2 linked regions of the Bombyx mori genome follow. The protein of the gene in region 2 purifies or fractionates together with the protein of the main gene of each other region. This does not show direct contact. Links are inferred from orthologs where the notes say so. Each region holds a gene or a part of one and is shown on either strand. Other genes may lie near its edges.

Region 1 (4,474 bases), on a different chromosome or scaffold from region 2:
TTATTGCTTGGTTGGGTGGACGAGCTCGCAGCCCACTTGGTGTTAAATTGTTACTGGAGCCCATAGACATCTACAACGTAAATGCGCCACCCACCTTGAGATAAGTTCTAAGGTCTCAGTATAGTTCAACGGCTGCCCCACCCTTCAAACCGAAACGCATTACTGCTTCATGGCAGAAATAGGCAGGGCGGTGGTACCTACCCGCGCGGACTCACAAGAGGTCCTACCACCAGTAAGTGTAGTGTGACTTTACCGCGAAGGGAGTCAAATTTCTAATCTTCATCTAATTTATTGTCTAATGACGCGAGGTCTCTTTTACACAAGATTATCGTCGATCGCTTATCGTATTTTACGAGGAGACGAGCGGTGTTATAAATTCATTCTGACCAACAGTCAAAATACACCAATACAATTCAGTAAAACTAATAAACAAATAGTTTTCTTCCAGAAATAAGTAATTCATTTACAATGTTTCGTTTTTAAGCATTAGAAAGGAAAAAACAATGTTTAATAATAGCAAACCGCAATATGTACTGCTTTGCGGCAAAAACAGCAGAATCCAAATTAATTATGTAACTTTTACACACGAATGTTGGCTATCTGTAGAGTATTACAAAGTGGAAACGCTCAGGGCCCTTGTTGAATACATAAAAGGAGCAGCTTATTTTAATCTCTTGTTAATTAAATTAAATACGTTATTACATAAACGTGTTACGCTTAATTTATCAATTGTCAATGCACATAATACTGCCGCATAGCGACATAGGCATAACCAATGCTGGGGTGACAGTGCTGTCAAGAATAAAAGAAACCTTCACTTAGTAGGAATTTTATTTATTCTCCGTCTAAGATTTTGATAGTTTTTTACCGGTCTCATAGATATACAAATGCACAAACTCCTTTTATAAGACCAGGGGTTGGTTATAGCTTCATGATCCAATTTTTCATGTTCAATGATCTGTCGTTTGTTTTAGTTGAAAGTATTCAGGTCACACATTTGCAGATGCTTATAACCATATGTTCCTTTATCGTATGAGTCGTTCAAAAACGTATGTTAACTTTAAAATTATTCTATAAATTGATAATCGAGGGCTATGATCGCACACTTCACAAATCTCAGACAAGTGGTACTTAGAAATTAATAATTCCTAACGTCTTCTCTATTATATCTGTATTTAAAAATGCTCGTGCAATTAGCTTGGATTTTTTTTACAATAATATTTCAGAAAATACATTTTAAAAAATTTAACTGTGTTTTTAGTAATAAAAGTATCATTGAAAATATACTGTTACAGCATAATTTTGTCTAGCAAAAAAATATAAAAATTCTACTAAGCCTTGATTCAGAGAATTGGTAGTGGCTATAAATGCGCCGTTGGTAACCCCATCAGTAATTTTTGAGCGCGCGTGATAGTGTATCACTTTGCAACCAAAAAATGTTCATTAAAATCCTCTGACGCTTGTAAAACGCCAGAAAATCGCAAATCATTTATTTATTAGTAAAATAATGATTAAAAAACGTTTATAACATATGTTGTGTACATAATATAATATAGTTTTAGTTTTTAAGGAAAATAAAATGAATTACTGCCGGTAAGCGAATAAAAATACATTCTATAGAATGAAAAGTTAAAAAAATTGGTTTCGCTAGCTCTCTCATTATTTTATGAGAGTGAAGTGTCTTAAAATATTTGAACACAGTTATTTATGTAATTTTTAATTAACGAAGGACATAAATATAAATCTTAATTAATTCACAAACCGTTTAATTGAATTATATTTCATAGTGTTTTGACGGATTTTAATGGTTTGCGAGTGTTTTCGCTGGAAAATCAATAATGTCTGCGCATACTGCCGACTGCTGAGATCCCTAACGCAGTGTCCCTTGCCTGATACACGAAAAATAACATTTAGACATTTAACTAAATATTGTTACCACATAACAATATTATCTTAAAATTCATTCATGTATTCTTATGGATACCGTAATTTATATCATAACAAATCTTCGAAGTTGTAATTAAATTAAATAAATTAACGAAGATTATTATTTAAATTTTATTAAAATTGTGTGTATCCCATAGGAGCTTCATAGACATTTACTTCCAAAATTTGTTCTAAGACTTGATTTGGATAATTACTTAACAATAGTATTAAATAACTTATTTAAATCCACATTTTTTTGGATTCGAACACAGAAAGACACTTCAATCCAAACAATTTAAAAATCATAGACGTTATATGATAAAGTTTACAAATAAAATTTTCATGCGTCGATTTCCCGCCATTTCTCAGCATTTTGATACTGCAGGGATTGGCATTAGGCGCTTACGACTTATCGAAAACTCTCGAACTATGATAGCCTAACTAAATAATTAAAGTAATTAAGAATAAAGAACTTTTTAATATAAAAATTTACAAAAAAATTTTTTTTTTTTAATATTAAAATGTGATTTTAAAAATTCTGTATTTTGAAGCGGCTATGGCTGAGCCATCGTTCAGCTGAAATCGATGCGATCATTTCACTACAACAGAAGAAAAACGAAAAATGCGCTGGATATTTCCCGTTCCAGGTAAATACATCTCACATCATACTTTAAAAAATGTAAAAATTAATGAATTGAAGAAATACAGTATACAATAATTTACGAATTCCTCGGAAGAGACGATTGAAGTGACTATTCATTTAATTTTACATATTTAAATTAGAATAAAATTGAATAAATACGTAAATACGAGAGAAAGTTTCAAAATAATTGTCCAAGGTCAAATTCATGTCATTTAAAATATAAGCTCGAACATAAGCGGCAGCTTTTTGCTCAAAAGTTACGAGTATCCTAATTACATCAACTCATGGCTTCAATTTTTTGGGTTTTTACCATCCCCTACCTTTCTAATCTGTGTGCTTATAATATAGAATATATACTCCATACTTATATATACTATTTTTTTTTATTGCTTTAGATGGGTGGACGAGCTCACAGCCCACCTGGTGTTAAGTGGTTACTGGAGCCCATGGACATCTACAACGTAAATGCGCCACCCACCTTGAGATATAAGTTCTAAGATCTCAGTATAGTTACTGGTGGTAGGACCTCTTGTGAGTCCGCACGGGTAGGTACCACCACCCTGCCTATTTCTGCCGTGAAGCAGTAATGCGTTTCGGTTTGAAGGGCGGGGCAACCGTTGTAACTATATACTAAATACTAAAGAAGGAGTCTTCTCATAATTACAGTCTGAAGATTGTTTTCAATATTTTTGAGTCTCGGCCTTATTTTTAATGATAAGGATACAGCTTTGAAACCGAACACGAATAAAATTATTATTTTACAGAATATTTACGTAATTTTAAATGTGCTCCAATTGGTAGCTCTAGAATTAACACGTTGACTGCTATGTAGGTCACCGGTGACCTATGCGGCGCATCGAAGTAATTATGTCGATTTCAGTTACTAAGGATCTGGATTGCCTTACTTTGCCTTCTTTTGTTTTTTAATGTATGTTTTAGTCTATTAGGTCTCTTAGAAATACGCGCAGCGCCTCGCGCTTCTTTCTCAGGGCGTAGTCTCCCGGTAGGCATTGGAAGAAGAGGAAGTCTTTGGTCTTCCTTCTTCTTCTCTGGAGGCGCCGGAGTCCGACATAACCCGGTCTGTTAGAACCCCTCTCGACCGGGTATCCGTATTCCCGAGCGTTAAAAAAACAGGGTCTCTTAGAAATAGATTCATTCTCAGTATCTTCGGATTCGTCTTTCCCATAGTCTACTAGATATTCCCGCGCCTTACTAAGAAGATAGAAGAAAGAAATCGACATAATAACTTCATAGCGCCGCGTAGGTCACCGGTGATCTACACGGCAGTCAAAATGTTAATTGCATATGGAGATTAGATTTCAGATAAAGAGGTAACCTACGCCAATAATAAGTTCCACGTAAATAAGTTGTTAAGTCAATATAAAATCTCTAGAAAAAGCTATAATGTAACTTAGTTTTGTTATAGCATGTATATTAAATTTGTGAATTGAATTAGTTGATTGTATGAATCTAACATACTTAACCTATTAACTTTTGCGTAAATAATTGTAATTTTTTTTTTTTGATGTGTGGACGATCTCACAGCCCACCTGGTGTTAAGTGGTTACTGGAGCCCATAGACATCTACAATGTAAATGCGCCACCCACCTTGAGAATAAGTTCTAAGGTCTCAAGTATAGTTACATAAAATATAAAGTATCTTTACGAGTGCTCATATGAAACTTCTCAATATAGAAATATAATACAATACGTATTTTAATGCACTTTTTTGTGGCAATATATGAAAATTCTACTTGAATAAATTACTGGTAGGATGTTTTATTGGTGTTAAATTTGTTTACTGAATCAAATTGTTCACGTAATGAAACCGTGCCACTACCAATTGAAGGCTATGAAGTCGTCGTGGCCTAAAGGATAAGACGTCCGGTGCATTCGTATGTGGCG
Region 2 (3,832 bases):
TAACCGCTTGACACCAGGTGGCTGTGAGCTCGTCCACTCATCGAAGCAATAAAAAAAATTAATATTTTTTTATTCGTTCAATTTTAGTATCCGTAAATGGTTAATGAAGATATTACGTAAAAAAGATGAGTAACCTGGTTGAGGCGCAGAGCGTCCTGATGCTCCAGAGCGGCGATGTCGTCGAACGCACCGGCCTCCATGGTGGCTTGCTGCTCGCGCAGAAGGTTCTCCTCCTCGCGGAGGCGGCGCAGGTTCTGCTCGAGTTGCGGCTCGGACGCCATGGCCGACTCGTCCAACTCCATCATCTCAGAAGAGGAGTCATCGCTCATAGAGGACTTCTTCTGTATTGGCCCTGAAACTGTTCCCGAGTTTGCCCTCGTCACTACGGTTAAATCTATTCCAGATTCTAGCGGTTACGGCTTGACCTGGAGTCGTGGAGTGCTCGGCTTGCTGAACTCGGCATTTGATCTATTTCTGGCGATCTATTGTTTAATCAATGTCAGATCCTAAAATAATATTTGCAGCGACGCATCACGACCTAGTATCGATATCGAGATTTTAATATTTATTTGACCCTACTAACCTTCTTACCGTCTATTTCAATTTGAATACTAGTGATGTAAAGTCAATGACTAATGTATTAAGCAAGTATTCTTCGTATTTTCTAGAAAATCCTACTAGTTTAATGACTTCGTATCGTTTACGGGATTAGCTTCTGTAGTGCTATTAAAATGTAGTTTTTGGATAGAAAATAAAATTAGGTTTTATATATTGGGTGATTTTTTTAACCTTGGATTGTGTTTGAAGAAGTAATATTTTTAGTCGAATCGATGAATTTTTCAAACAAACAGCCTAATTTGATTAAATATGCCACAAAATTGTATGACAGATTCTTAAATTTATTAAGAAAATTATAAAATCTTTTGCATACTCTAATGTGTGTGACGTTCTTTAAGTATGTATGCATACCTACTATTATCATGCGTAGAATGGAGCGACTCTATTCACAAATTGTTTTTTATTGAATCTAAATCAGTTTCGGAATACGAATTTAGAACTGGCCGGTTGCCATCTGTCGTGAGTATTACGAAATTACCGTTGATTTATTCAAACAACTTAATTGTAATACTATGTGTATTGTGTTAAAAATTTATCGTTAATAGGTGCTGGTAACCACGTGTAAATTTGAAGTTATATAGTCCTTACGGAGAGACACTATAAGCACATTTGAATCGACTGAAAGAATTAATCGGTATTTTCTTATCGTAAATTAAAATCCTACGATGCGAATTGCCGGAACAGAATAATAAGTGGGAAAGAAAAAAAAATTGTAAAAAAAAAAATACAAAAGAAAAAGAAACAAAATAAAACTTACTTTTTACTTCCTCACTTTATGTCACAATATCGGTAAAACATGATTTCGGAACAAATATAAAATGTTTACGACTAATATATTAATACGGCCATTCACACGGCTGGTCGTCCTAATGTTCGCAACTAGGCATCGAATGGAAAGCGAAGTGATGATAAACAGCATACAAAATAAAATAAACAATAAATGGTGCATTTAGACAACTACATAATAAATAAGATCAGAGAACGGCGGTTCGTATTTGGGTGGTGGTGCATGAAAAGCGTTTAGTGATTGACACGTTCACAACATGTTGTCGGCAACATGAGCCGTGTGAATGGCGAACAACATTCAAAACATATCAGCCGGCCGAGCTGAAATCGTGCCGCGCCCCAAACTCTCTTCTCGCCCAAACAAATCATAAAAGTACTCGTAAATTTTACATTTCTTTTAAATCCTTGTACTGAAACGTTATTCTATAAATTTATATTACACGAGCATCGATGACTCTCAAAGTCATTACACATAAATGAGTTATCGGCTCCCGGAATATTTATCACGCGTTCGACCGAGTAATGTGAGTGATATATTGTTGAGATTTCCGACTATACTCGTAAATCATAATTAAATAACTACATGAAAATATTTTCCACTCAAACATAACTAAAAAGAAAAGTAAATAACAATTTTTATTATCTTATTTTTACATCGCTTACTGACTATATAATATTTACACGGAACTAATGGCACGCTTTCGTCCCTTACACGATAATATCACAAGAATCGTCTCTGCCGATCGGAATAGTCCTTAGTAATACAAAACGAACACACGAACGAGTCAGACAGTCAGTGGTCACAGCAAACCTCGTCCCTCTCATCGTCCCTCCCACCTGAAATTATCGAAAATCAACATAAACGAAACAAATCAAAAGAAAATAAAAAAATAAATAAAAAAAAACGGAGCATGCAGTGCGAGGTAAAACTGTGAAGCGCAACGCATGCAAATAAACCAACGGAGATATTACGGACAATGGAGTTTACCAACATTCGCTTGGTTCGCAACACGTCAGTTCATATAAAGAGAATGTCGAGCTTACACTAATGAAACGAAGAAATCGCGAAACTTACTCAGGTAGGGCTCGCCCATGGTTCCCGGCAGGTAGGGGCAGCTGGTTACGTGGTTGAAGTTCTGGGACTGCATCTCTTCCTGGTCAGTTTCGCGGTGGTAGAAGTAGTTGAAGTTGGAGACGATGACGGGCACGGGGAGGGCGATAGTGAGCACGCCGGCGATGGCGCACAGCGAACCCACGATTTTCCCCCAGACTCCGACCGGCCTGTACGCAGCATGAGGCACTTATTAGAAAGAGAAACGGCCCAACAATCACCTAACAATACAACATGTTGCCCTTACTCAGTAATTATTTCTGTCTGCAATAAATATTATCTTTACTGATAATAAACATGCAACATAATTTTACATACCATAGCTCTCAGATCAACAGCGTCCTCGTTCTTTTATGTTCATTAAGATAAACGAAATCTAAAGTTTTTTATTTATTTATTAAATGTACATTATATAAAAAAGAGCTTAGCATTCGCATTTTTGCGTTTGTTTAATGAGAGTAGAAGAAGTACTATTTCATTCGTCATCTTTCATTCTCGCCAGCTAGTTACAGAATTAAACTGCAACTTTTCAATAAACGCATTGCGGTTTCGTGTTATCGCCAGCGCTGCGTCCGCCGGAGGAGAATAGATCCATTAAATCGAACGCACAGCCAGATATTTTTCATTACGGACAATTAGCTAATTGTGCCTATAACGACATATCTTGTGTGAGTCCCAAAGATCCATTCCGCTCCTAACGAAGGCAGATTTAATTGAATACTTATTTGATATATTACTAATAAATACTAAAACTAAAACATGACAAATACTACAAACGAAGACAAAAATCATGCACGTAAACAAACCACTTTTTAACATTGAACTGTGCTCCTCTATCGAAAATGGTGTGTGAGCTAAAAAAATTTGTGCTAAATATATAAAACAGCAATACATCCAAACGAACACCAATTTTACATAGTAGCATATTATTAAATAAGTGTAAATTTCACCATCTCACCAGAAAGCCTCATACGCTAGACACATTGAGGCTTCAGGAGGCAACGAGATTACTAAGTGATCACAAGCGTTACAATAACACGATGAGATCCACTACAGTACAAATGCGATGATGACAACAGTGCGGCCGGCTCTTGCCACCATTTTCGATGAGCTTATGTCGATCAGTGTAGGCGCCACAACATCGATGCATACATTCAAACATTTAGGATACATTGACAATATAGCGTAAGCGTTATTGTGGAGCGAACATCGGTGGTGGTGGTGGTGGTATATAGATGCCGCTTCGGATTCAAGCTGCGCAGGTTGGGAGCAGCCAGACTTTCTCAGAGGTGAAGTGCTCGCAACGAAAGCGGTTAG

What was found.
Region 1: the proteins of potassium voltage-gated channel protein Shaker (region 2) and protein quiver purify together in Drosophila melanogaster (affinity purification with western blotting, with the first as the bait; 3 studies listed by BioGRID). This does not show direct contact. The link is inferred for Bombyx mori from reciprocal best matches to the Drosophila melanogaster genes Sh and qvr.

Annotation. Positions count from the first base shown.
Region 1 is NC_085108.1:8,129,761-8,134,234, forward strand, and holds the start of protein quiver, read left to right. Parts: upstream 1-1,386; 5' UTR 1,387-1,593; intron 1,594-2,477; 5' UTR 2,478-2,548; coding exon 2,549-2,573; intron 2,574-4,474.
Region 2 is NC_085107.1:19,182,720-19,186,551, reverse strand, and holds part of potassium voltage-gated channel protein Shaker, read right to left. Parts: intron 2,686-3,832; coding exon 2,495-2,685; coding exon of another isoform or gene 2,480-2,494; intron 2,242-2,479; coding exon of another isoform or gene 2,198-2,241; exon of another isoform or gene 1,366-2,197; intron 353-1,365; coding exon 135-352; intron 1-134.